7 linked regions of the Callithrix jacchus genome follow. The protein of the gene in region 1 purifies or fractionates together with the protein of each later gene. This does not show direct contact. Links are inferred from orthologs where the notes say so. Each region holds a gene or a part of one and is shown on either strand. Other genes may lie near its edges. The genes, in order: SF3B1, TRA2B, SRSF1, SNRNP40, MCM5, USP39 and ZNF326.

What was found.
Region 2: the proteins of SF3B1 (region 1) and TRA2B purify together in Homo sapiens (co-immunoprecipitation; 3 studies listed by BioGRID and IntAct, with this or other methods). This does not show direct contact. The link is inferred for Callithrix jacchus from reciprocal best matches to the Homo sapiens genes SF3B1 and TRA2B.
Region 3: the proteins of SF3B1 (region 1) and SRSF1 fractionate together in Homo sapiens (co-fractionation; 3 studies listed by BioGRID and IntAct, with this or other methods). This does not show direct contact. The link is inferred for Callithrix jacchus from reciprocal best matches to the Homo sapiens genes SF3B1 and SRSF1.
Region 4: the proteins of SF3B1 (region 1) and SNRNP40 purify together in Homo sapiens (co-immunoprecipitation; 3 studies listed by BioGRID and IntAct, with this or other methods). This does not show direct contact. The link is inferred for Callithrix jacchus from reciprocal best matches to the Homo sapiens genes SF3B1 and SNRNP40.
Region 5: the proteins of SF3B1 (region 1) and MCM5 purify together in Homo sapiens (affinity purification with mass spectrometry; 4 studies listed by BioGRID and IntAct, with this or other methods). This does not show direct contact. The link is inferred for Callithrix jacchus from reciprocal best matches to the Homo sapiens genes SF3B1 and MCM5.
Region 6: the proteins of SF3B1 (region 1) and USP39 purify together in Homo sapiens (co-immunoprecipitation; 3 studies listed by BioGRID and IntAct, with this or other methods). This does not show direct contact. The link is inferred for Callithrix jacchus from reciprocal best matches to the Homo sapiens genes SF3B1 and USP39.
Region 7: the proteins of SF3B1 (region 1) and ZNF326 purify together in Homo sapiens (co-immunoprecipitation; 3 studies listed by BioGRID and IntAct, with this or other methods). This does not show direct contact. The link is inferred for Callithrix jacchus from reciprocal best matches to the Homo sapiens genes SF3B1 and ZNF326.

Annotation. Positions count from the first base shown.
Region 1 is NC_133507.1:118,370,317-118,374,333, reverse strand, and holds part of SF3B1 (splicing factor 3B subunit 1), read left to right. Parts: intron 1-457; coding exon 458-670; intron 671-924; coding exon 925-1,046; intron 1,047-3,411; coding exon 3,412-3,609; intron 3,610-3,708; coding exon 3,709-3,810; intron 3,811-4,017. UniProt on the Homo sapiens protein: Component of the 17S U2 SnRNP complex of the spliceosome, a large ribonucleoprotein complex that removes introns from transcribed pre-mRNAs.
Region 2 is NC_133516.1:14,862,793-14,865,738, forward strand, and holds part of TRA2B (transformer-2 protein homolog beta), read right to left. Parts: intron 2,710-2,946; coding exon 2,626-2,709; intron 1,047-2,625; coding exon 987-1,046; intron 15-986; coding exon 1-14. UniProt on the Homo sapiens protein: Sequence-specific RNA-binding protein which participates in the control of pre-mRNA splicing. Can either activate or suppress exon inclusion. Acts additively with RBMX to promote exon 7 inclusion of the survival motor neuron SMN2.
Region 3 is NC_133506.1:108,329,017-108,333,790, reverse strand, and holds the start of SRSF1 (serine/arginine-rich splicing factor 1), read right to left. Parts: upstream 3,031-4,774; 5' UTR 2,908-3,030; coding exon 2,714-2,907; exon of another isoform or gene 2,298-2,713; coding exon 2,113-2,297; exon of another isoform or gene 1,748-2,112; coding exon 1,575-1,747; exon of another isoform or gene 1,375-1,574; coding exon 1,188-1,374; exon of another isoform or gene 815-1,187; coding exon 792-814; coding exon of another isoform or gene 776-791; 3' UTR 1-775. UniProt on the Homo sapiens protein: Plays a role in preventing exon skipping, ensuring the accuracy of splicing and regulating alternative splicing.
Region 4 is NC_133508.1:67,930,508-67,934,994, forward strand, and holds the start of SNRNP40 (U5 small nuclear ribonucleoprotein 40 kDa protein), read right to left. Parts: upstream 3,174-4,487; 5' UTR 3,144-3,173; coding exon 3,000-3,143; intron 1-2,999. Other genes in the region: ZCCHC17 (zinc finger CCHC domain-containing protein 17), read left to right, coding at 3,474-3,605. UniProt on the Homo sapiens protein: Required for pre-mRNA splicing as component of the activated spliceosome. Component of the U5 small nuclear ribonucleoprotein (snRNP) complex and the U4/U6-U5 tri-snRNP complex, building blocks of the spliceosome.
Region 5 is NC_133502.1:206,269,669-206,273,685, reverse strand, and holds part of MCM5 (DNA replication licensing factor MCM5), read right to left. Parts: coding exon 3,997-4,017; intron 3,634-3,996; coding exon 3,568-3,633; intron 3,160-3,567; coding exon 2,983-3,159; intron 2,050-2,982; coding exon 1,937-2,049; intron 1-1,936. UniProt on the Homo sapiens protein: Acts as a component of the MCM2-7 complex (MCM complex) which is the replicative helicase essential for 'once per cell cycle' DNA replication initiation and elongation in eukaryotic cells.
Region 6 is NC_133515.1:27,393,915-27,397,931, forward strand, and holds part of USP39 (ubiquitin carboxyl-terminal hydrolase 39), read right to left. Parts: intron 2,232-4,017; coding exon 2,006-2,231; intron 1-2,005.
Region 7 is NC_133508.1:127,450,886-127,454,902, reverse strand, and holds part of ZNF326 (DBIRD complex subunit ZNF326), read right to left. Parts: intron 2,000-4,017; coding exon 1,852-1,999; intron 610-1,851; coding exon 510-609; intron 1-509. UniProt on the Homo sapiens protein: Core component of the DBIRD complex, a multiprotein complex that acts at the interface between core mRNP particles and RNA polymerase II (RNAPII) and integrates transcript elongation with the regulation of alternative splicing: the DBIRD complex affects local transcript elongation rates and alternative splicing of a large set of exons embedded in (A + T)-rich DNA regions.

The sequences.
Region 1 (4,017 bases):
ACAGTTGAGGTAAATTAGGATTTAACTATACATCTGCTGTATTAAAATTTTGTGAACTTTTAATGGTAATGGAGTAGTGCTTAATATGTAAAGAAGGAAAGAAGCAGTGTAGAACTGCACATGCAGTGTCACCTCAACTGTATGGAGAAATGAAGGAAGTAGCTTGAGATACACATAGCAGATATCTCTGTGTAATAATGTTAAGGATAGTTAAAAAATGACTTTGCTCTCTTCCTGTTTCGTAGTAGTTACTGTCTGTTTTTGTAACCCACGGAAAAGAAACATGTATACACACAAGAGTGTGAAAAGGTATATATAAATTTGAAATGGAACACTAGAAATTTAAATAAGGAATATTCTATTTTAGAACTTAATAGATTTGATTATAACTGAGAATAAAAAATATTATTTTAACAGTGATTAAAATTGTGGTCTTACTCACTCTTTCTTTTTAAAGACACTCCTGGGCATGGAAGTGGATGGGCTGAGACTCCTCGAACAGATCGAGGTGGAGATTCTATTGGTGAAACACCGACTCCTGGAGCCAGTAAAAGAAAATCACGGTGGGATGAAACACCAGCTAGTCAGATGGGTGGAAGCACTCCAGTTCTGACCCCTGGAAAAACACCAATTGGCACACCAGCCATGAACATGGCTACCCCTACTCCAGGTAGAAACTCTCTCATTGAAAATAATTGTTTTTTCCTCTACAAATTATTTAATTTTTTCTTTATGGTATTCTGTGTGCTATTAATGTCAATTACTAGCTAGAATAAGGAGATAAAAAAATAAGTCTTGGTTTGCATTTATAATATAAAAGCAACTAAATGTTAGGGTTGGTCTTAATGCTCTTTTATCTCAAAGATATATGTAATAATACAGTGTTGCACTATAGATTGTATAAAAATTTGCTTTTCTTGGTAGGTCACATAATGAGTATGACTCCTGAACAGCTTCAGGCTTGGCGGTGGGAAAGAGAAATTGATGAGAGAAATCGCCCACTTTCTGATGAAGAATTAGATGCAATGTTCCCAGAAGGATATAAGGTAGTACATCAAATATGAATGAGGTTGTATTTAGGATATGCATTTATTTTAAATAGTAAAAAAAAATTGATCAAGGTTGCATTGGCTTTGCCCAAATTTAGTATTGTCATTCCATTCTCTTAGGTATTTCCAAGTATGTTTCAGTTCCAAAGAGAGATGAAAAGAAATGAACAACAAGAAATTAATTTTTGAAAGAAATCTCAAGGACTATTGGTTAGACTTTGAGAACTGCCGCTGCTTCAGTTTTCCATCAGTCCCAGGAATAAACTCCTTTAGATTGTGGTTTTTTTTTCTTGGTGTTTTACCAAGATTTTGTGTCCTTAAGTTTATGGATTATCAGTGGACACAAAGAATATTCTTGTTTTTTTTGGTGGTGGTGGTGGTTTTTTTTTTTTTTAGATGGAGTCTCACTCTGTTGCCCAGGCTGGAGTGCAGTGGCATAGTCTCTGCTGCCTGGGTTCCAGTCGTTCTCTTGCGTCCACCTCCTGAGTAGCTGGGATTATAGGCGTGTGCCACCATGTCCAGCTGATTTTTATATTTTTAGTAGAGATGGGGTTTTGCCATGTTAGCCAGGCTGGTCTTGAACTCCTGACCTCAGGTGATCTGCCCTTCTCAGCCTCCCAAAGTGCTGGGATTACAGACGTGAGCCACCATGCCCAGCGTTCTTTTTGCCATATCAACTTGAAATTTATTTTGAACTATAAAATTTTCTAGGTAGCTGACACTTAGGGAGTATTTGTTAGTCTAAAGGTAGTCTGTGGTCGTATAGCTGAGATTATAACCAGAGAAACCAGATGACTTTGTAAATCATCTGATGGCCTTTACAGAGCTTTTTCTGTTAATGACTGTTGATTTTTAACAGTTTGTGTGTGTTTTTTTTTTTTTTGGTTTTGTTTTGTTTTGTTTTAGAGACAGGGTCTCACTCTGTTGCCCATACTGGAGAGCAGTGGCATTGACATAGCTCATTGTAGCATCGAACTCCTGGGCTCAAATTATCCTCCTGCCTCAGCCTCCTGAGTTAGCTGCGGCTACAGGCATGCACCTCCACACCTGGCTAATTTTAATTTTTTTTTGTAGCGATGGAATCTCAGTGTGTTGGCTAGGTTGGTCTCAAACTCCTAGGCTCAAACTGTCCTCTCACTTTGGCCTCCTGAAGTGCTGGGATTATAGGCATGAGCCACTGTCCCCAGACTTGTTTTGTTTTTGATCCCCTGTTATTTTTGCTAAGTATGTGTTTCAAGTTTGCATGAATTTTTGCTTAAAAGCTTTTTGTAGACTCCACATAATGCTGTGGGTATAGATATAACCTACTGTTGACTGCCTGAGCTTCTTTCTCAGTCATAGTCATTGATTTCCTTAGTGTCACTAGGAGGAAAAGTCTCCCTTAGTGTGAATCCTCCTAAAAAGCAACATCCTTACTAATGAATATAAAAATATAGGAGACCTTTAAATTCTTAATGGCGAGTGATTTCTGTGGACTTGAAACTGATTTTTCTAGGCTTCACATCTATAGAGTATCCACTTTATTCAGAATGCTTAGTGGTCTGTGCTGGTGCAGACATTAACTAGCAACGAAAAATATCTGTATTTTGCAGATATTTTATATATATCAAATTATATAAAATAGAGATGGGGTCTCGCCTTGTTGTCCAGGCTGTTCTCAAACTCCTGGGCTCAAGTGTTCCTCCCATCTCAGCCTCCTAAAGTGCTGGGATTACAGGCATGAGCCACCACACCTGGCCTGACCAGAAGTTGTAATTTTTTTTTTAAGTCTGTTACCAGCTTAAAAAAAAAATTATTTGTGATTTTTAGCCAATAGTTTTTGAAATTTTACTGGTTTTGCAAAAGGTTTAATTAGGTGGTATATTTTACAGGGCTTTGGTAAACATTTTGGTTTTAGTTTTTATGAGTTTTACCTTAAAAGATTTGTTTTTAGAGTGCAGAAATTTATGTGATATTTTAATACTAAAATATAGCTCTTTATATGTTGTATACACCGTATGAGCTTATTTCCAGTTATATAAATACTTATTAAACGTTATTTGCTTTACTAGAGCATTTTTTGGAATTGCTGACTCAGATTTTATTTTCAAATTTTTAATAATTTGACATTTTGACCCACAACATGTTTGAACGTGATTAGTGTTTTCTAAGCTCTTCTCTTGTATTTCCTCAGTTCCCTATACAGCTGATATAATCAACAGATGAGAAGCATGTATTTTAAGTTTCTAATTACATTAGAAAAGCAAGATAGGTGTTGTCTCCAAGCAAATAAAAACCTTCTAACTAATAAACTGTAAAATATTTTAAGTGCAAATGTTTTTCAAGTTAAGATAATTCTAAAATGTCTTATAACTTTTATTAGGTACTTCCTCCTCCAGCTGGTTATGTTCCTATTCGAACTCCAGCTCGAAAGCTGACAGCTACTCCGACACCTTTGGGTGGTATGACTGGTTTTCACATGCAAACTGAAGATCGAACTATGAAAAGTGTTAATGACCAGCCATCTGGAAATCTTCCATTTTTAAAACCTGATGATATTCAGTACTTTGATAAATTACTGGTAAGTATTGCTAGCAGAAATAAACTATTACATTGTGTTCCAGAATTATAAATCATAACATTTCAATTTGCCTTAACATTTGTTTTCTTTTTACTATAGGTTGATGTTGATGAATCTACACTTAGTCCAGAAGAGCAAAAAGAGAGAAAAATAATGAAGTTACTTTTAAAAATTAAGAATGGAACACCACCAATGAGAAAGGTAAGTCTCAGTTTGTTAAGTTGTCATGTTTGTTGCTTATGTAATTAAAAACAAATTTTTGTAGTTTTTGTAGAGACAGGGTTTTGCCAAATTGCCCAGGCTGGTTTCAAGTGATCCTCCTGCCTCGGCCTACCTCCCAAAGTGCTGGGATTACAGGTGTAAGCCACTGAACCTGGCCATGTTTATATTTTTAAAAATGTTTTTAAT
Region 2 (2,946 bases), on another chromosome or scaffold:
AAGGTGACCGTCTTCTACAAACAAATGTGAAGATTGTCCAAGTTTCCACAGACCACATTTAGACTAAACATATTAAATTTATGACTATATGTATTGCCCCTTTATCAGTTCCCAAGAGAAAAGCTGCATGAACCTTCAAGGTCTATTTAAGTCTTGAGAATGAAGCACATTATCAGGCCCAAATATCAAATAAGCACTCTTAATAACTTTCAGGTCAAACAATCCCTGCTATATTTTAATCTGGTTACCTCTTAAATTTTACGTATGTTAAGAGAGGTAAAAGAAAATTCCTGGCTGGGTGCAGTGGCTCATGCCCAGGCCAAGGCAGGAGGATTACTTAAGGCCAAAAGTTTTTAGACCAGCCTGCGACATGGTGAAAACCTGTCTCTATAAAATACAAAAAATTAGCCGGGCATGGTGGCACACACCCATAATCCCAGCAAGGGGCGGTGGCGCGCGCGCACAAAGACTGCAGTGAGCTGAATTGCTCCACTGTACTCCAGCCTAGGCAACCGAACCACACTCTTGTCTCCAAAACAATGAGAGGGAAGTCCCATACCATTAAATAATTCCCACAATATCCTCATGAACTAACACCCAAAACTAATTTCACAAGCACTTCGGGATTTAGTTTTGTGTAAAAAAGCCTGGCTTGAATGTACCCGAGATGCTTACAAAAAGCAAAGAAAATGTAATACAAGAACATAACAAAAGTAATTACAAAAAACTAGTTCTTTAACAGTGACTATCTTTAACATCATTAAGGTATAAAATGGTACACCACTAATAACGTATTCCAAACCCAATTAATATTTACAAATATACAAGACATTACACAGTCATTTAGTTTCATTTAGAATATTTTCATGAGCTTCAAACAGTTTGATTTTGGGTATTTCACTTATAATTTACAAAATATTAGTAGGCAACATCTTTATGTGAAGCTTTCTACTGTTGTACAGATGCTAAATCCTCTCCTGGAATACCTGTAAATCTGATCCCTGTCTTGAGCAGCTCTCCATCCTCCTCCTCCGCCACCGCCTCCTCTGTAAAGACACAAGGACAACATGCATTCAGTTTTGTAAAATTATGTCATTCATTCAGTAAATTAAACTTTCATAGAGCATGAATGAGATGCTCCTTGTATGTCAAGTGATTTGCCACCCTTTTTAGAAACTGGCATAGAGCTCTCTCTGGTGGCTGAAATGAGTAGTATTATTAGAACACAGAACACTCCTAAGTACTATTTTAAAAAAATGTCAAACAGGCCTGTCAAATTAATACCTTAAGTACCATTGAATAGAGTGATACTTTAAAGACAAAAAAAGGGTTTTCATGGGTGATAAAATGCTGAACAAGAACATACTTAAAAACTCACTTTCAATGATCCACAACTGTTAATTTCTTAAACATTACCAAATAATGTACAATTATCAAGGTATCAATGACAACTGTGGTCAATACTAACTACACTACTTCACTTGTCAAATTACACATTTTGACAAGCAAGGGAGGACCCAAATTTCCCAACTTTAATTTACTTTTATCAAGTTATTTTCAAAGATATCTTTAACAATGATTGGCATTTCCCTACCCAAACCTCTATAAATATCAAATTTTTGGCAGTCACAAAAAGTCACTTACCCTTTTAATTAATTATTTTATTTAATTATTTTCTGGTTTTTCACAGCATCAGTTTTACCTGCCCTCTAAGCGTACAACCCATGCATCAGCAATACCAAGAAACTGCTTGAAAAGCAATGGCTTATGCTATTTGCTTTTATAAAACATTGCAAATTTGTTTTTATAATACTAAGACACAGGTTATAATTATTTTTTGATTTTTTTTTTATTTTTAAGACAGGGCCTTGCTCTAGCGGAAGTGTACCTGGCTCACTGCAGCCACAAACTCCTCAGCTTCCTGACTCATTTCTGTGGAGATGGGTCTCCCTATGCTGCCCAGACTGGTCTCAAATCCCTCAGTTCAAGTGATCCCCCTGCCTCAGCCTATAATTTTGCTTTAGCTTTTTTGAGTGTCTTGATGTATTGCCCAGAGTGGAATAGTGGTGCAATCTCAACTCACTGCAACCTCCACCTCCCAGGTTCAAGTGATTCTCCTCAGTGTCCTGAGTAATGTCTGGCTAATTTTTTATTTCTAGTAGACAGGGTTCACTATGATGGCCAGGCTGGCCCTCAGGTGATCTGCCCAGCTTGGCCTCTCCCCAAGTGCTGGGATTAAAGGTGTGAGCCACCACGCCTGGCCTGTCACTCTAAAACAGCTAATTCACACAAAACACGTGACCGGGCGGATCCCCAAGGTCGGGAGTTCAAGACCAGCCTGACCAACATGGTGAAACCCCATGTTAAAAAAAGAAGAAGAAGAAAAAAACCATGTTATTTTATTGACATTCCAAGTGACTTAAACCCCATTTAAATTTTAGAATATTGGAACAGAAATCCAATCACACATGAATTTAAAGACATATCACTTTAAAATCTGGTTTAAGCTTCTGCTTTGCGTTTCTCAAAGTACTACAGCAAAGCCTTTATGAAAGGCTAAAACTTAAGCATAGTGCTAATCTGTACACTGTAACTGAGATTCAGAAGGTGACCTTCATAACTTACCTGTATGATCTGCTATAGTAGTCCCGATCATCATAGCCCCGATCATATCCTCTGTCATAGTAATCCCGACGGCGAGAGCTGCCACTATGAAGAAAAAAAATACCAAGTGTCCCTTATATTTCTGTACGTGACTTTTTATATCTACATTAACTAGAAAATGAACATTATGTCTGTTAAAATTCTCACCTATATTGAACAAGCACTGCTCTTTCCCTTGTTACAGTATATGTATACACCTACTTAAAAAAAAATCTTTGGTTAAGGAAACAGAGATCCTACATATGCACATCCCACATATTTCTACAAGGATAAAAAATAAAC
Region 3 (4,774 bases), on another chromosome or scaffold:
GTTCAACTGATAATGCCAACACTTGTTACTGTACAGTGTATTACAGGTTTCGTGGTTGCAAGAAGTTATGTAATTTAAGTTTACTGGCATTGCTACCCACCTAATCTAAAACTAAATCTAATGCTCCCATTTGCAATTTAATTTGTAAATTAAAGTGTTTTAAACATATGAATCAATTATGAATATTAAAGGGGAAGGTGAGACCTAAGTATTCCCAACTAGATTATCTACACCAATACATTGGAACTCTATTATTTTGCTTTCATTTTGTCTTAAAAAAATGAAATAGCAACGCTCTATCAGTCACACAGAGGACATGCAGATTTAGCAGTATTGATATTATACTCTATCTTGTTGGATTTAAAGACACCCTCTACCCACATGTACACCAACAGCAGGTCACACATTAACAGTTGTAACTAAGCACTGCGACAAATTAGCCAGTTCTTCCCACATTAGTCCCTATTATAACAAAAATGGGGGGAAGGGAGCAAAATAAGTTGCTACAAAATGGGCAACATAATTTTGCCACAATTGCCAAGGTTTAAAAGGTAAAGCAATTGTAGCTAAAGGTAACTGAATAAAACATTCAAGTGTTTTAAGGAAAATGTATATAATCATTTTTACCCCCCTGCCTTTTAGTATAAGGTCAATACTGCCAATTTCATCTGTGACAATAGCACTTGGAGTCATACCATTGCCTCCATTATTGATCTGATCCTCCTCAATCCTCCTTTTGACAATCCTAAAATGATTGAAATGTGCTCCACAATCCTTAATCCAAAGCATTCTTAATCCATCTCTTCAGATATGTCTACAGAAAGACACATGAAAAGCAAGATAAACATAAGAACTTCCCCAGGTAAGATAACCATAAACATCCCCAACATCCCAGTTCACACAAATCAGGGCAAAATAGACATTTACACAATATCACAGTCTGAAGAGTATGGAGTTAACTAAATTTAAACAATCCTGTCTATGACATCACTTAAAATACAATTTATCGAAGACACGAGGGGAATGTAGATGTTAGGAGCAAAGGGATATTACAAGAATGCAATTCAACACTTTAGCCCATTCTGAACAAAACAGTTTGAATTAAAAAATGAAAAGATTGTACTGAATAAAGGAAAACTGTATACAACATGGGTTCTACAAAAAGTGTCACCAATCATCTTATGTACGAGAGCGAGATCTGCTATGACGGGGAGAATAGCGTGGTGATCCTCTGCTTCTCCTTGGGGAGTAACTGCGACTCCTGCTGTTGCTTCTGCTACGGCTTCTGCTACGACTACGGCTTCGAGATCGAGATCTTCCATAACTTGGACTTCTGGGCCCATCAACTTTAACCCGGATGTAGGCAGTTTCTCCCTATTGGATAGACAGAACTTTCCATTGAAAGATCTAAGCTTTCACCTAGCTTCAGGCATGCTGAATGAATACAATGTAACTAAAACCAGAAATCTGGCAATTTACTTGGACACCCTTGCCTGAATCCTTACCTTCAAATTCCACTGTTAAGACCACTGTATCCAATTCTGGTCAAAAAAAAGAATAAGCATATAACCTACCTCATGGGATCTAAACTTAGTGTTATCCAGTTTTCGAACTGCATAGGTCATATCTTCTTTCCGTACAAACTCCACGACACCAGTGCCATCTCGGTAAACATCAGCATAACATACATCACCTGCTTCACGCATGTGATCCTTTAAATCCTGCCAACTTCCACTTGGAGGCAGTCCTGAAAAAGCGATTTTTTTTCTTAGTATCAATTATCTTAAATTTCACGTTAAGCTGATAAGGTACATTAGGACAAAGAGTACTTTAAAATACTTAATAGTTGTACTTAAGTGATACCAGGTAAAGAGCTGGTAAGATTCTGGAATCCAGAGTCCAAAATTATTTGTAACGGATCTTCGTATCTAGTACCGCAACCTAATTTGGTAAATCACCACAGCAGCAATCCTCGTTTATTAAATTCACCCAAAAACTAAAGCAATTTAAGACCTAGCATGAAAAATTTGCAATTGTTAAACCGGTCACGCAAGAGAAAATTTTTAAGTAGTTTCCGTCCCTTCACATCAACCACACAACCGGTAGACTTACCAGAGACAACCACTCTGTTTTCAGACCGCCTGGATGGGGGGCCATAGCGACCTCGGGGAGCTCCGCCACCTCCACCCCCGCCGCCTCCTCGGCCTGTTCCACGGCCGCTTCGAGGAAACTCCACCCGCAGACGATATCCATCGTAATCATAGCCGTCGCGACCATACACCGCGTCTTCCGCGTCCCTGCGGGATCGTAGACAGTAAAAGGCATGAGAAAGACCAGGAGGAGAAGATCGCTCAGTCGGGAACCAGCGAACCCCCCGCACATGCGCACCCAACGTGGAAGAGCCCACATGCGCCGCATAATGGGAATGACCCCTCCCCCACCCAGAAACACGCCAGGCTCCCAGCCACTACACCAGCCCTCAGCGCCTCAGTTTCCCGCTCCAGCCTGCGAATGGGCTCCGGGGACGTCCAAGGCGAGGCGCCAGAGAAGCCACACCAACTCAGCTCCTCACTCGACTCCTGCATGGGCGATACAGTCTCGCCCCATCCTCTCTAAGAGCCCCCGCCTTCCCGTTCTCTATATTAAGGCCTTGGAGTCTTCCCCGACCACTCGGACCTATTTCCTCAAGGCTGCAAGCCCCATGCCGCCTCACCGCGGGTCCTCGAACTCAACGAAGGCGAAGGGCGGTCCCCCGCGGCGATTCTTGAGATCGATGTCGCGGATAGCGCCGTATTTGTAGAACACGTCCTCAATGTCCTTGGTTCGGATGTCTGGAGGTAAGTTACCCACGTAAATGCGGCAATCGTTGTTCCCTGCGGGGCCACGAATCACACCACCTCCCGACATGGCGGCGACGAAAAACGTGGACTCGAGAACGGGCCTTCCCACCAAGCCTAGCGCACGGCAGAGCAAGCCCGCAGCGGCACCACGTCTCCCGCGGCCCCTCCAAAATGGCGCCTTTATCAGTTCGGCGCACGGATATGGGGGGGGGGGGAGACAGAGGAAGAGAAGCGGAAGGAAACAGCGATTCGATCCCAACACGCACGCGCTGCGAAGACTACGTTCAACGTACGCGCGCGCACGCACGCGCGACGTCACCCTCCGCACGAAGGGGGAAAAAAAGTCCCCCGCGTTCCCGGCTTGGGGTGGTTTGCGAATAGAGTGGCCGTTTGGTAAAAGTTAAATAAAGAACTCTCTCTAAAGGAGCTAGTCTTCCAGGTCGGGTCTTGAAGGACAGTCAGTTTCCCCAGGAATGAGGATCTCTGAAAGCAACTCGGCGCCTTGAAAGGACTTGGTGAAACCTAGCCTAGAGCCTTGTCCCACCATGCTCTGCGGCGATAACGGCCTTTGGCGGGAAGGAGTCTCGGGGGCGGGGCCAAAGGGGGAGGGACCGGGCGGTTGCTCCGGAAACCCAGGCATCCTTGTAGAGTGCGTCTAGTTCAGAGCTGAGGTGCCATTGGAGAGCTGGGGCGTTGGTTTGTCTTCCCTCTCCTCCTGCGAACAGGGCGTGGCTCCTTAGACAATGAGATTTGTCTAATTTAGCAAAACCGATTTCGATTCCTAAATAAATCCTCTTCACTAAGTACCGTTCCACCTTCTGGTCAGAACTTTGCATAGCTTAGTTCAGCACTCCTTGTGCTTAGTCGCGGTGGGTAGGTCGTACTAGCTATCCGGAAGGGGTGAAAACACCGTACCGCCTCTGGGACCCACACCTCTGTATCTCTTGTTAGTCGCCTATCCGTGGGACTGGCGCAAAAGATTTGCAAATTTGTTTCCGTTGTTTCCTTTCAAATAAAGAGAAGGAAGAAGGGGTGCGTGTGTGCAGTTTTCCCTAAAAGTTACTGATATACCAGGTTTTGAAACTACCAGTCCTCTCAGGTAATAAAATGGAGCGAAATGGATGTGAGAACCGTAACCACTAGAGACCGCGGTTGCTACTCAGGACTGTGATCTACTTGCCTGCAGTCTTGGGAGATAATATTTTACATTTTTTTCCGACGTCTAAAATCTAGATTTTTTATGTTAAATCCAGGGATTTTTAAGGTAATGAATTCAAATTAAAATCAGGCTGGGCGTGGTAGCTCACGCCAGCACTTTGATGGGCGGGTCACATTGAGGTCAGTAGTTCAAGACCAGCTTGGCCAACATGGTGAAAACCAATCGCGGTGGCTCACGCCTGTAATCCCAGCACTTTGGGAGGCCGAGGCGGGTGGATCACGAGGTCAAGAGATCGAGACCATCCTAGTCAACATGGTGAAACCCCGTCTCTACTAAAAAATACAAAAAATGAGCTGGGCATGGTGGCACGTGCCTGTAATCCTACCTACTCGGGAGGCTGAGGCAGGAGAATTGCCTGAACCCAGGAGGCAGAGGTTGCAGTGAGCCGAGATCGCGCCATTGCACTCCAGCCTGGGTAACAATAGAGAAACTCCGTCTCAAAAAATAAATAAATAAATAAATAAAAATAAAAAGCCAGGTGTGGTGGCGGGCGCTTGTAATCCCAGCAGTTTGGGAGGCTGAGGCAGGCCGACAGATCACAAGGTCAGGAGTTTTGAGGCCAACCTGGCCAATATGGTGAAAGCCTGTCTCTACTAAAAATATAAAAATTAGCTGGGCATGGTGGCGTGCGCCTGTAGTCCCAGCTACTCAGGAGGCTGAGGCAGGAGAATCGCTTGAACCCGGAGAGCAGAGGTTGCCGTGAGCCGGGATCGAG
Region 4 (4,487 bases), on another chromosome or scaffold:
AGATATGGGGTTTCACCAAGTTGGCCAAGCTGGTCTCAAACTCCTGGCCTCAGTGATTGCCTGCCTTGGCTTCCCAAAGTGCTGGGATTATAGGCTTGAGCCACAGTACCCAGCCTATTTTTATTTATTTTTTCATAGCACAGAGATCCCCAGCATGAGTGAAGTAGTTTTGATTATGGTCTTGGATGCTCAGGCAACATTTGGGCAATTCATCTACACCTGGGCTGATATGCTCACTTGTCAAATGGGAGAAGTATACTACCCCAAATCCCCAAATGTCTTCAGTACTTTCTACTATATTAATTTATTTATTTCTATTTTATTTTATGAGAAGGAGTCTTGCTCTGTTGCCCAGGCTAGAGTACAATGGCATGATCTCGGCTCATTGCAACTTCCACCTAATGGCTACGAGCAATTCTCCTGTCTCAGCCTCCCGAGTAGCTGGAATTACAGGTGCCTGCCACCACACTCAGATAATTTTTGTATTTTTAGTAAAGCTGGGGTTTCACCATGTTGGTCAGGCTGGTCTCGAACTCCTGACCTCAGGTGATCCGCCTGCCTCGGCCTCCCAAAGTGTTGGGATTACAGGCGTGAGTCACCACGCCCAGCCATATTCTTATTTTTACAAAATGCTATGTGCAGGCCGGGCATGATGGCTCATACCTGTAATCCCAGAACTTTGGGAGGCTGAGGCGGGCAGATCACCCGAGGTCAGGAGTTTGTGACCAACCTGAACAACATGGTGAAACCCCGACTCTACTAAAAATATAAAAGTTAGCTGGGTGGATCACCTGTGGTCAGGAGTGCGAGACCAGCCTGACCAACACGGTGAAAACCCATCTCTATTAAAAATACAAAAATTAGTCAGGTGTGGTGGCAGGGACCTCTGATCCCAGCCACTTGGGAGGCTGAGGCAGGAGAATCGATTGAACCTGGGAGGGAGAGGTTGCAGTGAGCCAAGATTGCGCCGTTCCACTCTGGCTTGGGCAACAAGAGCGAAACTCCACCTCAAATAAAAAAAGCAACAACAACAACAAAGGTTATGTTCTAGGCACTGGGCAAACAGCAACAAACAAAGGAAAGGGGTATATTGAAAATATCCTTTTCCAGTAGGAAAGGGGAAGAGTAGGAGGGAGGATGACAGAAAACAAGCAAAATATGTACTTGCTGTCATGTGCTATAGAAAATAAAAAGGATGGGCCGGGCATGGTGACTCATGCCTGCAATCCTAGCACTTTATGGGGCTGAGATGGGTGGATCATGAGGTCAGGAGTTCAAGACCAGCCTGGCCAAGATGGTAAAACCCCATCTCTACTAAAATACAAAATATTAGCCAGGTGTAGTGGTGGGCGCCTGTAATCCCATCTACTCGGGAAGCTGAGTCAAATATTGCTTGAAACCAGGAGGTGCAGGTTGCAGTGAGCTAAGATCATGTCGCTGCACTCCAGCCTGGGTGACAGAGTGACACTCTGTCTCAAAAAAAGAAAAAAAAAAAAAAAAGAAAGAAAGAAAGGATGGGCATGTTGGCTCATGCCTGTAATCCCAGCACTTTGGGAGGCCAAGGTGTGTGGATTGCGTGAAATCCTGTCTCTACCAAAAAAAAAAAAAAAAAAATTAGTAGTGTCTGTGGTCCCACCTACTCAGGATGCTGAGGCAGGAGAATCACTTGAGCCCTGGAGGCGGAGGTTGCACTAAGCAAGTGGGCATCAAATGGAGATTCTAAAAAAAATAAAATAAAATAAAGAGAGAAAGAAAGAAAGTAGCAATGTGGGTTCCAGAGTACAGGGTATTGCAATTTACAATAGGGTGGTCAGGAAAACCCTTACTGAAAAAGTTATATTTGGGCAAATATTCGAAGGAGCTTAGTAGAAGGAGATTGCTCTTCTTCCCTTGTAAACATTTGGGAAGAAGAGCTATCCCCGCAGAGGGAGCAGCAAATGCAAAGGACTGAGGCGAGGCTTGGAAGAGAGTGTAACTGGAGCCAGGTGGGCAATGAAAAACTGGTCAGAGAGGTAAAGGGAAAGAGGGCAAATGATTACAAGAATTTTGGTTTTTACTCTGGGTGAAGTAGAAAGCCACCAGGAAGTTTTCTGCAGAGGATAACGTGATCCGATACTTAGAAGGATTCATCTGGTTATTGGCTTGGTAACAGGTGCCGGTCCAAAGGCAGAAAGTAGACCAGTTAGGACCCTACTACAAAAATGCCAGTTGAGGTAACAATGGCTTAGGCCATGAGGCAGTGATGGAGATGGGAGAAGTAGCAATTCTAGATTTATTTTGAGGACGGTGCCAGCAGGATTTGTTGAGAACACGAGAAAGAAGACACTCATATTTCCTCATGTGAGCCTAAACAGGACACTGGAAGTGTGATCACGATTTCTATCTTATAAAATAGTTAGGAGCATGGTTTCTCAGTTCAAAATCTGTTTCTATCATGTACTTGGTAAGTTTGTTTTTCCATCTGCAAAATGGGTTAATAACCTTCCTAACAGGCTGCTACCAAGATTAATAGATATTTCACATGGGAAACACTTTAGTACAAGGGTCCAAGAATGTTAGCTGCTATTTAATTGTTAATAATACTAGCGCAGAAAAATAAAGGGAAAAGCAACCAACCCCAATCATTTCCCTTCTTTCCTCCCTCCCTCGTTCATTCTACAAACTTTTTTGAACGTTTGTTCTACGCTAGCTAGATCCATGTGAGTTAGGATGCTCAAACCCGGGCCCGGGTTTTGAGCCCAAGGTTCTAATTCAACTCTACTTCTAAAGCCACCTCACAGGGCAGTCGAGAGGCTGAAAACGAGCGCCAAACAGGGGAACATGTACGGAGTATCCGCAAACTATGGGGCGCTTAGTGTTTATGTGCTTTAACTTTAGGGGGAAACTCTCGTTCTGCCCCCGCAATGCGGGAAAGGGTCGGTGCAGGGCCACCAGACACAGCGCTTTGAAGGGAGAGGAAGATGAGCTGAGGGCCAAAGGCCGCCTGCTTCTTCACTTACCGCTTGCAGCAAAGCTCCCGGTGTCGTCTGCTGCTGCCCGGCTCCGGGGCCCGACCCCGTCGCTCCCAACAGCAACTCATGGCGCTGCCGCTTGACTGGGACCAGCGACAACTCCGGGCCCTTACGCTTCTGCTGTTCTATCATGGCGGAAACCGGTCTCTTCAGCGCCGCCACCGAACGCGCTACAGCCCTCAGGCGCCACGCAATTGGTTTCAACTTAGTCCTTCCTCCACAACTTCCAGCTTGAAGAACCAATCGGCTTTCAATATTCCCATTTGCACCGCCCTCCAGATAGTCTCTTGTTACTGGGCCTATCTTTCTGACGTCATGAGAGCGCGATTCCAGGATTGGTGAACGGAGCTGGCGACCTTCCTAGGCGCGCTGGGTGTTGTGGGTGGAAACACGCAGGTTGACTGGGTTAGGCGTTTACTTCAACGCCGCGATTTGGGGACCAGGAGCTGACGCCTAGTACGTATGAGGAAGAGCGGGGTGGGTGGCTGTCTGAGTCTGGAGGCAACGCCTCTGTTGTGCAGTCTGAACCTGCCCTTCTCAGCTGAGGGTGCTGATAGCGAGGGGTGGGAGGCGGGCCCCGAGTCCCCAGCTCTGGTAAGTAGTAGCCTGGGCTCCCTTTCCGGGCAGGAGCGGAGCCTTGGGGTCTCGGCGGCAGGACCGAGCCCCCGCGGCTCCCTTTTTCAAGAGCGCCCATCGTGGCCAGTCCTGTGCCGGGCATTCCCAGGGAGAAGGGCCTGTGTCCAGCCTCCACCGGTGCCCTATTTGGCCGAGGAGGCTGACTTGTTTCTGCCACTGATTTTGCAGTTTTTGGTTAGGGCCTACTCTATGCCCCGCTGAGAGAGACCGTGATGAAGGAAATGTCCGGCTCCTTCTCCAGACACAGTCTTGTTGAGAAATTTGACTCATGCCCGTGAACGTGGTCATTTCCTCAATCGTCCAGCTGATATTTATTGTGCAGCGCGTTGGGGATACGTTGTGAACCAGGCACGGTCCCTACTCTCAAGGCGTTTAAGTCTGGTGGGGAAAACGTTAAACAGTGACCTCACTAATACATGGAAGTGCCTCTAGTGCTGCCTGATGCAGGTTTTTCAGAGGAAAAGATGCCTGCGCTGGTAGCTGCAGGAAGAATTGGAATTAATTAGGTGAAGAGGCTAAGGCAGAACCTTCCATAGAGAACTACTTGTTCATTTTCCTCCCAAGCCCTGAGGCACTCGGGAGGAAAACGGCCTAAAGCACAAAGAACCAGTGTGGCCGGTACAAAGAGAATGAAGGGGAGTATGGCACAAGATGAAACTATGTGATAGCGGTCAGACCTTGCAGAAATTTGTAGCTTTTATTTTAAAACGGATGAGATACCACTGAGCCGTCTTCCCCCAGTGGGGTGTGGTGGAGGAGGGGGCTTGATTCCTCGGGCTCAGTGGTGTGAACAGATTGGGGTTGAGGAAGCCCTTGTGGCTGTATATAGACCACTTAGGA
Region 5 (4,017 bases), on another chromosome or scaffold:
CTGCCACAAAGATCAATACTGGAGAGAAATACAGATGCCTGTTAGAAAACAGGTGAAGAAAAGCCTGGCCACATCTGCAAGGCGAAAACCGCCCCTTCCCCACTGTTGGACATTGTGTGGTGTCTTGCCACAACATTCCCCATACTGTAATTAACAACGGCATTGTCCCCACACATGTAATTAACAATGGCACAATCACAGCAGCATGAAGGACCACTGAGTGGCACAGTCTCAAATTCCTCCACCCCAACACATCTGAAGACAGGACAAGCTGATGATACCCACAGGAGGCTTGGCAGTGATTGCAGTCCAAGGGCTGGGAGCACCTCAGACTCTCCTGGGAGGGGAAGTGTGGGGAAATCTGATCAGCATCTACCCCATCCCATCCCCTCCCCTCCAGCCCACCGGCCAACTGACAATCACTGATGTACGGAAAGCCTTAGCTCAACCATCCTAAGGATGTGGAGACTGAGGCCCAAAGGGAGGGAGGGCACTCCCCAAGCCCACCTGGGGACTTAGTGCAGAGGTAAGATTAGAATCCAGGGCTCCCTGACTCACAGCTGTGGGCCCAAGCCTCTCAAGACTGGGCTCTACAGAGCTCAGACTTGGATGAAGACCCAGGAACTGTCCACACTCACCCCAGCAGAGGTACTGAATCAGGGACCCACCAGCCCCCCACCAGCAGTGAACTCAGAGTGCCCTCGACCCCTGGGTGTTAGCTCCTTCAAAAGACCATCAAGGTGCTGTATGACAAGAATCTAAGTACTGTGGTTAAGAGCATAGCCTCTGGAGGCAGGCAACTGGGTTCACTTCCTGGCTCCACTACCTCTGACACGTGACTTTGGACAAGTTACTTAACTTCCTTTGCCTCCGCTTCCCCATCCATAAAGGGAATAATAGCACACCTAGCCTGGTAGGTTTTGGGGAAGGTTACAATTAATTCATATAGAAAGTACTGAATAAGGCCGGGCGTGGTGGCTCACGCCTGTAATCCAAGCACTTTGGAGGCCAAGGCGGGCGGATCACCTGAGGTCAGGAGTTCAAGACCAGCCTGACCAACATGGTGAAACCCCATCTTTAAAAAAAAAAAAAAAAAAAGGTACTGAATAATATTCAGAATAATGCCTAGAACAAAGAAAGTAGTGTGTGTGTGTACATATACACACATACACATATTTTTTTGAGACAAAGTCTGCTCTGTTGCCCAATGGCATGATCTCAGCTCACTGCAACCTCTGCCTCCTGGGTTCAAGCAATTCTCCTGCCTCAGCCTCCAAAGTAGCTAGGACTATAGGTGTCCACCACCACACCCAACTAATTTTTGTATTTTTAGTAGACATGGGGTTTCCCCATGTTGGGCAGGCTGGTCTCAAACTCCTGACCTCAAGTGATCCACCCACCTCAGCCTCCCAAAGTGCTGGGATTATAGGCGTGAGCCACTGTACCAGGCCAGTACTATGTATGTCATTATTATTACTGAAAATCTGGGAGAACAATAAAGTTGCAGCTACCATTCACTGAGTATTTAGTTACCTAGAGCAGGGCGATGCCAAGCACTTACTGATCATCTTATGTAATCCTTACAAAAATCCTAGGAAACATCAGCCTGGGGAAATCAAGGCTCAGAGAGGCCAACCAACTTGCCCAGAGTCATACAGTGAGGGCAGGTATGACCCAGAGCCCATATCCACCATGTCCACACTTCACTGCCTCCCTGCATGTCAAACTTGAGGAGAACTTCAAGACCATCTAAATCCCACCTCCTTGGTGTGAAGATGGGAAAACTGAAGCCAAGAGCCAGTGAGCTGTGCAAGGTGAGAAGGGAACAGAACAGCTTCAGTAGAGCATGAGGAGGTGCAGGATCAGGGGACTGGGTTCTCTCCCACCCAGGGAAGCTGGGCAACCTCACCCCCATGGGCCTGCATCCAGGACTCACGCTCGGCAGTAGGCAATAAACTTCTTCAGCTTGGCCAGGTCGATCTCGCCCTCCACGGCCTGTGTCTGTGTCAGTGCACTTACGTGCAGAGTAATGACATGCTTGGCCAGCATCTGGGGGAGAGGGGGCAAGGGGGAAGAGGGGACACAGGGTCATCCCACAGGCCCTCCCAAGCCTAGGTCCCAACACTGAGGTAGAACAGGCAGAAAAAGCTCATGGGACCCTAGCAACACAGATCCAGAAAGGGTGCTGAGGTATCAGGCATGCTCATCCCGTTTGCTCAGCACCAGACCCTCATTCTGACGACAGTGTCTGGATTCTCCTTTAGAGAGAATTTAATGCTCCTTGCTCCTCTGCCCTGGTCCATAAAGGGGTGGGGTTCAGCCTGTCCACCCCTACTTGGGGCGTGTATCTGCTTCAAGGATGGACATTTGATCTACCCATACCAACAGGAGTCTATCTGGGACTTTTGCTAGAAGCACTAGAAAAGGGGTGTCTCTTTCCTGGGGGCTATCAAGCTATAAGCTAATGAGACAAAATCTTATTTTGTCTTTGCCACCACAAAAGGAACAGCTGCCCAAGTACAAAGATTCCACCAAGGGAAGCAGAGCAGAAAGGCAGAGACAGTTGTGTGAGAATCCAGATATACCTGGGCCTTAAGCTGCTGGACTTCTCAATTCTATAAACCACTCTATTCTGTTCATTGAAAAATTTACTAACCAGAACTGAGGTTCTATTACTTATAACCCAATGTCAACTCCTCTGTTTCACATATAAGGGACTGAGGCCCTTATGGAGAAACTGATTTAGCCCCAGTCACACAGTTTATCACTCACAGCAGAGGCAGAGCCAGGCCACAGGACTCCAGACCCCTACTTCAATCCTCTGCAGTCCCCAACAAATACTCTCTGACATGCTCCCCAACCTCACAGCCTGACAGCTAGGACTTCACCAGCCAAGGCCCTTGTTCTCCGTTTTCCTTCCACACAATCACAAGCCCGCCTGGAGCCAGGCCCCATGGCCCTCAGCCCTGGCCCTGGACGCACCACATCCCTCTCCTCATTGTGCTCATCCTTGACAATGAAGATCATATCGAAGCGCGACAAGATGGTAGGCATGAAGTCAATGTTGTCCTCCCCCTTCGTCTCATCCCAGCGGCCAAACACTGAGTTGGCAGCAGCCAGGACGGAGCAGCGAGAGTTCAGGGTGGTGGTGATCCCAGCCTAAGAGGTGACAGAGGATGAGAAGGGGGAGGAGATGGCAAAGAGCCCTGGGAGATGCTTTCTTTCTTACACACGGACACACAACACACACACACACAGTTATGCATGCGTGTGCACGCGCATAAACACAATTCTAGGCCTAGGCAATACATACTCATACTCCCCCACACACGCACACGTGATTCTAGGCCTGAGCAACACACACACACACACACACACACACACAATTCTAGGCCTAGGCAAAGAGAACCTGGGAGATGCCTTCTTACATACACTTACACACACACCCCGTTCTAGGATTCTAGGCATGGGCAACGAGAACTTGGTCCCAGCCAAAGCCAATCAGGGTAGCCTGAGGATGGCTGGGCCAGGCTGCTGCTGGGGGCGCTCTCCACGGAGGCTACTCACCTTGGCAATAGAGATGGTCTGCTGCTCCATGGCTTCATGGATTGCCACACGGTCGTCTTCTCGCATCTAAGTGGAGGAGAGAAATGTCATCAGACTTACTGAAGTGAGGAAGCAGGGAGCTGTGGCAGCAGGAAAACTAACAGCAGCCCCAACTCCTGAATACCAGCTCCATGCAAGGCCAATGGCAGCGACCAGGTCACCTCTAATCATGGTAAGCACAGTGTGGGCTTGCCTATCTTCTCCACACTTTCGGATATGGAAACTGAGGCTTCAGAGGTTAAGCAACTTCCCACCATTAACCTAGAGCGACAGGCCCAGGGATTGAAAACATGTCTCCCAAGTCAGAGGTGATTTATGCTGGCTGAGCACATGAGGTCACATACCCTGGTGCCACCCCCTTTTGGCTACTACCCACCTCATCAAACTCACCTTGTCAAACTCATCAATACA
Region 6 (4,017 bases), on another chromosome or scaffold:
TCAGCTGAGACTAAATCATGGGCTTCTGATCAATATATATTATCCAACCCAAAGTATATCTTATTTCCTACTAACCCTAAAATAAGTGCTCCATGGGCCCCATTCCTTACCACCTTGATTCCCCCTATTTCTCCTTAAGTAACAGAGACTCTTAAAAGTCACTACTCAACATCCCCTCTAAGTCAATCCTCAGCCAGAATAATGTTTTTGTTTTTATTTTACAGACGGAGGTCTCGCTCTGTTGCCCAGGCTGGAGTGCAGTGGTGTGAACATGGTTCACTGCAGCTTCTACCTCCCAGGCTCAAGCGATCCTCCAACCTCAGCCTCCCAAGTAGCTGGAACAACAGGTACCTGACATCATGCTTGGCTAATTTTAAAAAATTATTTGTAGATACAGAGTCTCACTATGTTGCCCAGGATGGTCTCTAACTCCTGGGCTCAAGCAATCCACCCACCTCGACCTCCCGCAGTGCTGAGATTATAGGTTTGAGACACCATGCCCAGCCAGAATAATGTTTTAAAAACAACTCTGATATCATACCTTTGTTAAAAGCCTTCAGTGAGGCCAGGCACAGTGGTTCACACCTGTAATCCCAGCACTTTGGGAGGCCGAGGTGGGCAGATCACCTGAGGTCAGGAGTTCGAGACTAACCTTGCCAACGTGGTTAAACCCTGTCTCTACTAAAAATACAAAAAAACTAGCCTGGTGTGGTGGCAGGTGCCTATAGTCCCAGCTACTCGGAGGCTAAGGCAGGAGAACTTCTTGAATCTAGGAGACGGAGGTTGCAGTGAGCCAAGATCACACCACTGTACTCCAGCCTGGGCAAGAGAGGGACATCCCATCACAAAAAATAATAATAATAATAAGCCTTAAATGACCCCAGCTGTTATCAGGATATAATCCAAGCTCCTTATGGTGGCTTATAAACCAGGCCATCAGGTCCCTCCCTCAAGATCTACACCTCAACTCTCCATTGATCCCTGGAGTCCACGGATCCAGTTACTTGCAGTCCGTCTATGCCAGGCACTTTTCACTTCTGCCCACCATGTCCTCTCTACCTAGAATGCCCTGCCCCCACCCCAACCTGCCTCTAACTCTACCTAAAACTCAGGGTTCTCCTCCTCCACTCTGACCTCTCATCTACCTCCTACATGTTCAGTTGAGGGGGTCCTTGTTCCATGCTCCCTCCCACAGCACAGCACATAACACCCTATAATTACCTTTTGTTAAAAAAAGGATAGTTGAAATTTGCTTATTTATTTTTAAAGACAGGGTTTTGCTCCGTTACCCAGCTAGAGTGCACTGGTATGATCATAATTCACTGTGGCCTTGAACTCCTGGGCTCAGGCAATACTGCTGCCTCAGCCTCTCAAGTAGCTCAGACCATAGGCTTATGCCAGCACACTCAACCTTTCTACATAACAATTTCCCCACTAGACTGGAAGTTCTTCAAAGGGAAAAATCATGTTTCTTATCGCTGCTCTAAAACCTAGCACCATGACTGAATGTTGAATAAACTAATACGGACACTAGAGGATACCACATGAGATTCAGGTACAAAGTTACAGTGTCCACTTTACTCATAAGATAATAACAAATTGGGTTTGGAGAGACAGAAACAGTCAAAATAGTTCATTAGAGGTCAGGCACAGTGGCTCACACCTGTAATTCCAGAACTTTGGGAGGCAAAAGCAGGCGGATCACGAGGTCAGGAGTTTGAGACCAGCCTGGCCAACAAAGTAAAACTCCCCTCTCTACTAAAAATACAAAAATTAGCTGGGCATGGTGGTGGGCACCTGTAATCCCAGCTACTTGGGAAACTGAGGCAGGAGAATCGCTTGAACCAGGGAGGCAGAGGTTGTAGTGAGCTGAGACCACACCATTGCACTCCAGCCTGGGTGATAGAGTTAAAAAAAAATTCACTGCCATGTGGAAATAAATTTGCTCATTAAACTGGTTTTGTTGTCCTGAAGTCAAGGGAAACATGAATGACTTGCTCCTTACCTTGTTTAGTGATCTGAAAAGTCTTCTTACTGCAAAGTACAACTGCCTGAAGCATCTCATGGGGAGATACATGTGCCTTGAAATTTCGAGGGTTCCAGAGCTTTCTCATCAGCTCTCCAAAACGCTGGACCAACAAGAACATAATATCCCCTGGAGGACGCTTGATGTTCTTATAGTTGTCTTCTTCCAGAAAGTAGTTCCGGAGAGGAGGAACATTAGATAGAGCCTGAAAATCAAACACTCCAATTAACCCAAAGCCCCTTTGTAGGACCCCTTGAGCCAAGCTCTTCCAGCTAAAGCTCTCCTAATAGAATCCTGTGATCTATCTGTGATGGCCTTAAAGAGCCTTAAATGGACCCTTGGAGAATCCTACCCAGGCTCACATTACAGAACTGTCCTTAACATTGAGTGTCTGAAATACCACTGATTTGATAATGGAAACAAGAAAAAAAAATTGAGTTTCATAAGAACTACAGTTCTGCAGATACTTCGCTGATGTGGATAATAATAAGGGTAAAACAAAACAAAAACCACATGTATTCAAATCTCTATCAATTTATTTAACAATTTCCTTTTGTTACTCTAATTATGCTGTGACAATACTCAAATTCATAAGGTAGAAGGGTAAAATCCAAATACTCTTTTCTTCATCATCCATTTTGGCTGAAGCAAAGATAACTATCTAGGAAACAGTTCTCCCATCTCTCAACTCCAAACTAATATAAAAATTATCTTAAAATTTGATGTTTTCCCATAATAAAACCATGTAACTGTACATAAAATAAATATAGGGAACTGTGAGGACGCAAAGGTGTAAGAATAATACAATGGACTTTGGGGACTTGGGGGAAATGGTGGGGGGGGTGAGGGATAAAAGACTACACATTGGATACAGTGTACATTGCTCGAGTGATGGGTGACCAAAATCTCAGAAATCACCACTAAAGAACTTGTACATGAAACCAGACACCACCTGTTCCCCAAAAACCTATTGAAAGTTTTTTTGTTTTTTTTTTTGGAGACAAATTCTTACTCTATCCCCCAGGCTGGAGTGCAGTGGCAAGATCTTGATTCCCTGCAACCTCCGCCTCCCAGACTGAAGCAATTGTCATGACTGAGCCACCCTGCCCCACCAAAATTTTTTCTTTAAAGTAAATATAGTCTGTTATGATGGAAAACAGTCAGCCAGGCAAGGTGGCTGAAGCCTGTAATCCCAGCACTTTGGGAGGCTGAGGCAGAAGAATCACTTGAGGTCAGGAGTTCAAGACCAGCCTGGCCAACATGGTAAAACCCAGTTTCTACTAAAAATACAAATTAGCCAGGCATGGTGGCACGCACCTATAATCCCAGCTACTTGGGAGGCCGAGGCAGGAGAATCGCTTGAACCTGGGAGGCAGAGGCTGCAGAGAGCCAAGATCCACTGCACTCTAGACTGGGTGCCAAGAGCAAAACTCAGTCTCAAAAAAAAAAAAAAAGAAAAGAAAATGGTCTGTAGGCAAAACCATCCAGGACGTAGGAACAGGCAAGGACTTCATGACTAAAACACCAAAAACAATGGCAATAAAAGCTAAGATAGACAAATGGGATCTAATTAAACTCCAGAGCTTCTGTACAGCAAAAGAAACCATCATTAGAATGAATCAGCAACAAACAGAATGGGGAAAAATTTTTGCAATCTATCCTTCTGACAAAGGGCTAATATCCAAAATCTACAAGGAACTAAAACAAATATACAAGAAAAAAACAACCCCATTCAAAAGTGGGCAAAGGATATTAACAGACACTTTTCAAAAGAAGACATATATGAGGCCAAGAAACATGAAAAAATGCTTACCATCACTGGTCATTAGAGAAATGCAAATCAAAACCACACTGAGATACCATCTTACGCCAGTTAGAATGGCGATCATTAAAAAAATCTGGAGACAGCCAGGCGTGGTGGCTCACACCTGTAATCCCAACATTTTGGGAGGTCAAAGAGAGCAGATTGCCTGAGGTCAGGAGTTTGAGTC
Region 7 (4,017 bases), on another chromosome or scaffold:
ATGAAGGAGAGACTAGTGTGGGTTATGCTTAAAGAAGCATTGTTATTTAAAAAGAAAAAGAAAGGTTTTAGGAGAACTAATGTATGTTTTTCTTTTCTTTTATTCCTTTTGTTGGCTGTTTTTTTTGTTTCTGTTTTAAGTAAAAGCATATTTACAAACTCCAAAAATGGAATCAAAAGAGAAAACAAGACTAAAAAACAGAAGAGTTCATAACTTGAATTTAGGGAGAAGGAATAGAAGAAACAGAGGACAGAGAGAAGTGTCTTTCATTTAGAGGAAAAGGTAACTTTTCCTCTGAAACTTAAGTGAAGGAAGTAATGGTAGGTAGCAATAAATTTGTAAGCATGAGAACAGGAAGTCAACGAAGTTCATTTCTGATAACCCACTCAGAGCAAATGCATATATGACTGTGTACTGTATCACTCTGGTGGCTAACATTTATATTTCAACAGGTTATGATATATTAAAATGCATGTAAAATTTTTAAATAATTTGTTTTAAATATTTACCTTCCATAACATCTTTTTCAATTATTTTGACTACTTCTGTTTGATTATTTGTCTGTTGCTTACGAATAGAGGTTTTCTTGAATTTATTCACCATACACTCCTAGAAAACAAAACAGAAAAAATCAAAAGTTTTCAATGAGCACTTAGTATAATGCTTAGCACTATGTTCATTCTATGAAAGACATAGTATCTGCTATATAAGAATTAATATCTTTTCTTAAGGAGCTTACAATTTAGTTGAAAAGAGACTCATAAAATACTAGGAACCTACAAAAATTATTTAAGCATATACAGAAAGAGATCAAAAGGAGCCAGAATATTTAAGTGGTCTTCTCAGAGTAGGTGGGTATTTAAGTTAGGGCAACGGAAATACATTACAGAAAAGTGTTAATCAAGGGTCACAGTTCTGTGAAGATTATATTGGCCTGGATAATCACTGTATTTCTTTCTAATAATTCCATCTCTTCTGTCCAAATTAATTGTATGTTCAATAAACAGTCCAGCTCAAGCCCCTTCGTTAAGCATTCTTTTGTTGTTGCTGTTGTTGTTTTTGTTTTTGAGACGGAGTTTCACTCATGTCACCCAGGCTGGAGTGCAATGGCACGATCTCGGCTCACGGCAACCTCCGCCTCCTGAGTTCAGGCAATTCTCCTGCCTCAGCCTCCCGAGTAGCTGGGACTACAGGCACGCACCACCATGCCCAGCTAATTTTTTGTATTTTTAGTAGAGACAGGGTTTCACCATGTTGACCAGGATGGTCTCAATCTCTTGACCTCGTGATCCACCCGCCTCAGCCTCCCAAAGTGCTGGGATTACAGGCGTAAGCCACCATGCCCGGCCTAAGCATTCTTTAACATTCCCAACTGTCTTTCCCTTTACCAAACACTTACGGTACCTCTGAATTCCTGGCACTGCCACCTAACAGTCATTTAGCTACTCTGAGCATAATCATTCATGATAAAAATGAGTTGTTTTAAGGCTCAATTGAAATAATGAATGAATGTATCTAGCATAACTCCACTTAATGGATGATAGCTGACTCTACATCAATAAAGTTGTTAAAGGACACCTCCACCAGAAACAACTGTGAAAAATGTAATAATTTCTGAAATAACAAATCCAAATTATAGAGGAATTCATAAGCAATTATGGGTTAATTTTAACAAACTCTATTATAGAGGTATTCACAAGCAATTATGAGTTAATTTTAAAACAACTCTTTCTTTAAATAGTAAACTAAAATTTTAGAAATACAAAATGTGAGAGATGGGGAAAGTGAAAAATGAAATCATAAGAAATTCACATCAATAAAATGCTTCTCATTTCAAAAACAGCTACTTACATGCAAAAACTCCATAACTACTTTATCAAATTTAGTTTGTTTCTGTATATGATCTAATGTTTCCTGATGTGAAGAACTTTCCAGATGCAGTTCAATATCTTTCTCTTCAAATGTTCGAAATTTACAAAACGAACATGTAAATGCCATTCTATAAGACAAAAAAGTCTTCCTTCAAATATTACTTTTTTCACTTATAACAAGTTCACAAGAATATACCATTGAAACTAATTTTATCAACATAAATTATTTCCTTTCTTCCATTTTATACTGAATTAAAATTAGCTTAAATCCAAAAAAAAAAAAAACCAATATTTCTTTAAGTACTTATTTAGACAGCAGAGTCATTTTACCACTTCGCATTTCTGGCCCACCTTGGAGCTTCCACGTAGGAAAAATGGAAGCAGTGGATATATAAATTATCTACTTCAAGCCTAGACCAATTAAAAAGCCAAAGCAAACCTCAAGAAGTATTAAGTTCCAAAGTTCTGTAACATTTTACATGTTGTTCCATCCTCAAGCTTCTAAACCACTGGTAGTATCAACTAAGTATAGTGGCACACCATCAGACAATCATAATTCACTCCTATGGAATTCTTAGGTGATCAAAAGTCTTACCTTCTAATGACCACTTCACTTCAGGATAACTAATAGGTCTGGACTGGACAAATGCATACATCTGTAAGCTCAAGAGCCACTCCAGAATGAACTGTCCCACTTGTTTTTTGGTTTTTTTTTTTTGTTTTTTTGAGATGGAGACTTGCTCTGTTGCCCAGGCTGGAATGGAGTGGTGAGATCTTGGCTCACTGAAACCTCCACCTTCCGAGTTCAAGAGATTCTCCCACATCAGCTTCCCAAGTACCTGGGACTACAGGCATGCACCACCACGCCCACTAATTTTTGTATATTTAGTAGAGGCGGGGTTTTTTTCAATTGGCCAGGCCAGTCTTGAACTCCTGACCTCAGGTGATCCACCTGTCTCAGCCTCCCAAAGAGCTGGGATTACAGGTGTGAGCCACTGCACAGAGCATAATTGTTTCTATCTCATGTTATTTTCTTTTCCTTGAATTAGGCTAGCAGTGACATAACTGGTTTCTGTTTCTAGTCCCATTTTCTAATTAATTATTTGCAATGCTATTAGATTTACTTTCATAGTTGAGAATATAAGCTCTGAAGCCAACTGCTGAGTTCATATCCTAATTCCATTTTGTGATCTTGGGCAAGTTACTTGACTTCTCTGGGCCTTGGTTTTCTTACATTGAGATCAGAACGCTCATAGATGTGTTATGAGGATTTTTAAAAATACATATAAAGCCCTTAGAACAATTTCTAACACACAATAATTATTCAATTAGTTATTATTACTTCCTCTAGGAGGTAAGAGCAAATTACTCCTCTAAGGGCATCATTAGCTCCTTAAGCCTCAAAAAACAAAGACAAAAATGTTTTCAGCTAGCATCTGGGAAATTTCCTAATCTCTCCTTCTTGGCTTTACTCACCAATTCCTTTAACAATATCTGGCACATAGCAAACCTTCATTAAATGTTTAAATTAGATTACACCTTTCACCGCACTAGAGTCACTTCAATCTACACTGCTCTCAATTTTCTGAATATCAATAACACATTCCTGTTTATTTGCTTTTATGGCAAACCATGGCCTCTACCTGGGCTTCCTCTCACAACTCCTCCTGTAACCCTGACATTCCCAGATCAACACAAATACCACTTCCATCATCGTAGCCTCCCCTGATTTCCCTGCACCCTTATTTATTTATTTTTTGCTCTGTTGCCCAGGCTGGAGTGCAGTGGCGCAATCTTGCTGTTTCCCAGGCTAGAGTACAGTGGCATGATCTCAACCTACTGCAACCTCCACCTCCCAAGCTCAATCCATCCTCCCACCTCAGCCTCCCAAGTGGCTGGGACCACAAGCACCTGTGACCATGGTTAATTTTTATATTTTTTGTAGAGATGAGGTTTCACCATGTTGCCCAAGATATTCTTGAATTCCTAGGCTCTAGGAGTCCACCTCCCCTCGGCCTCCCAAAGTGCTAGAATTACCACGCTCAGCTTCCTACACCCTTATGAAGAAGTTATTTCTCATAAGACTACATTGTACTTCTCTTCTGGTATCCTTCACCATATAGTATTATATGTGTACATCTCTCAC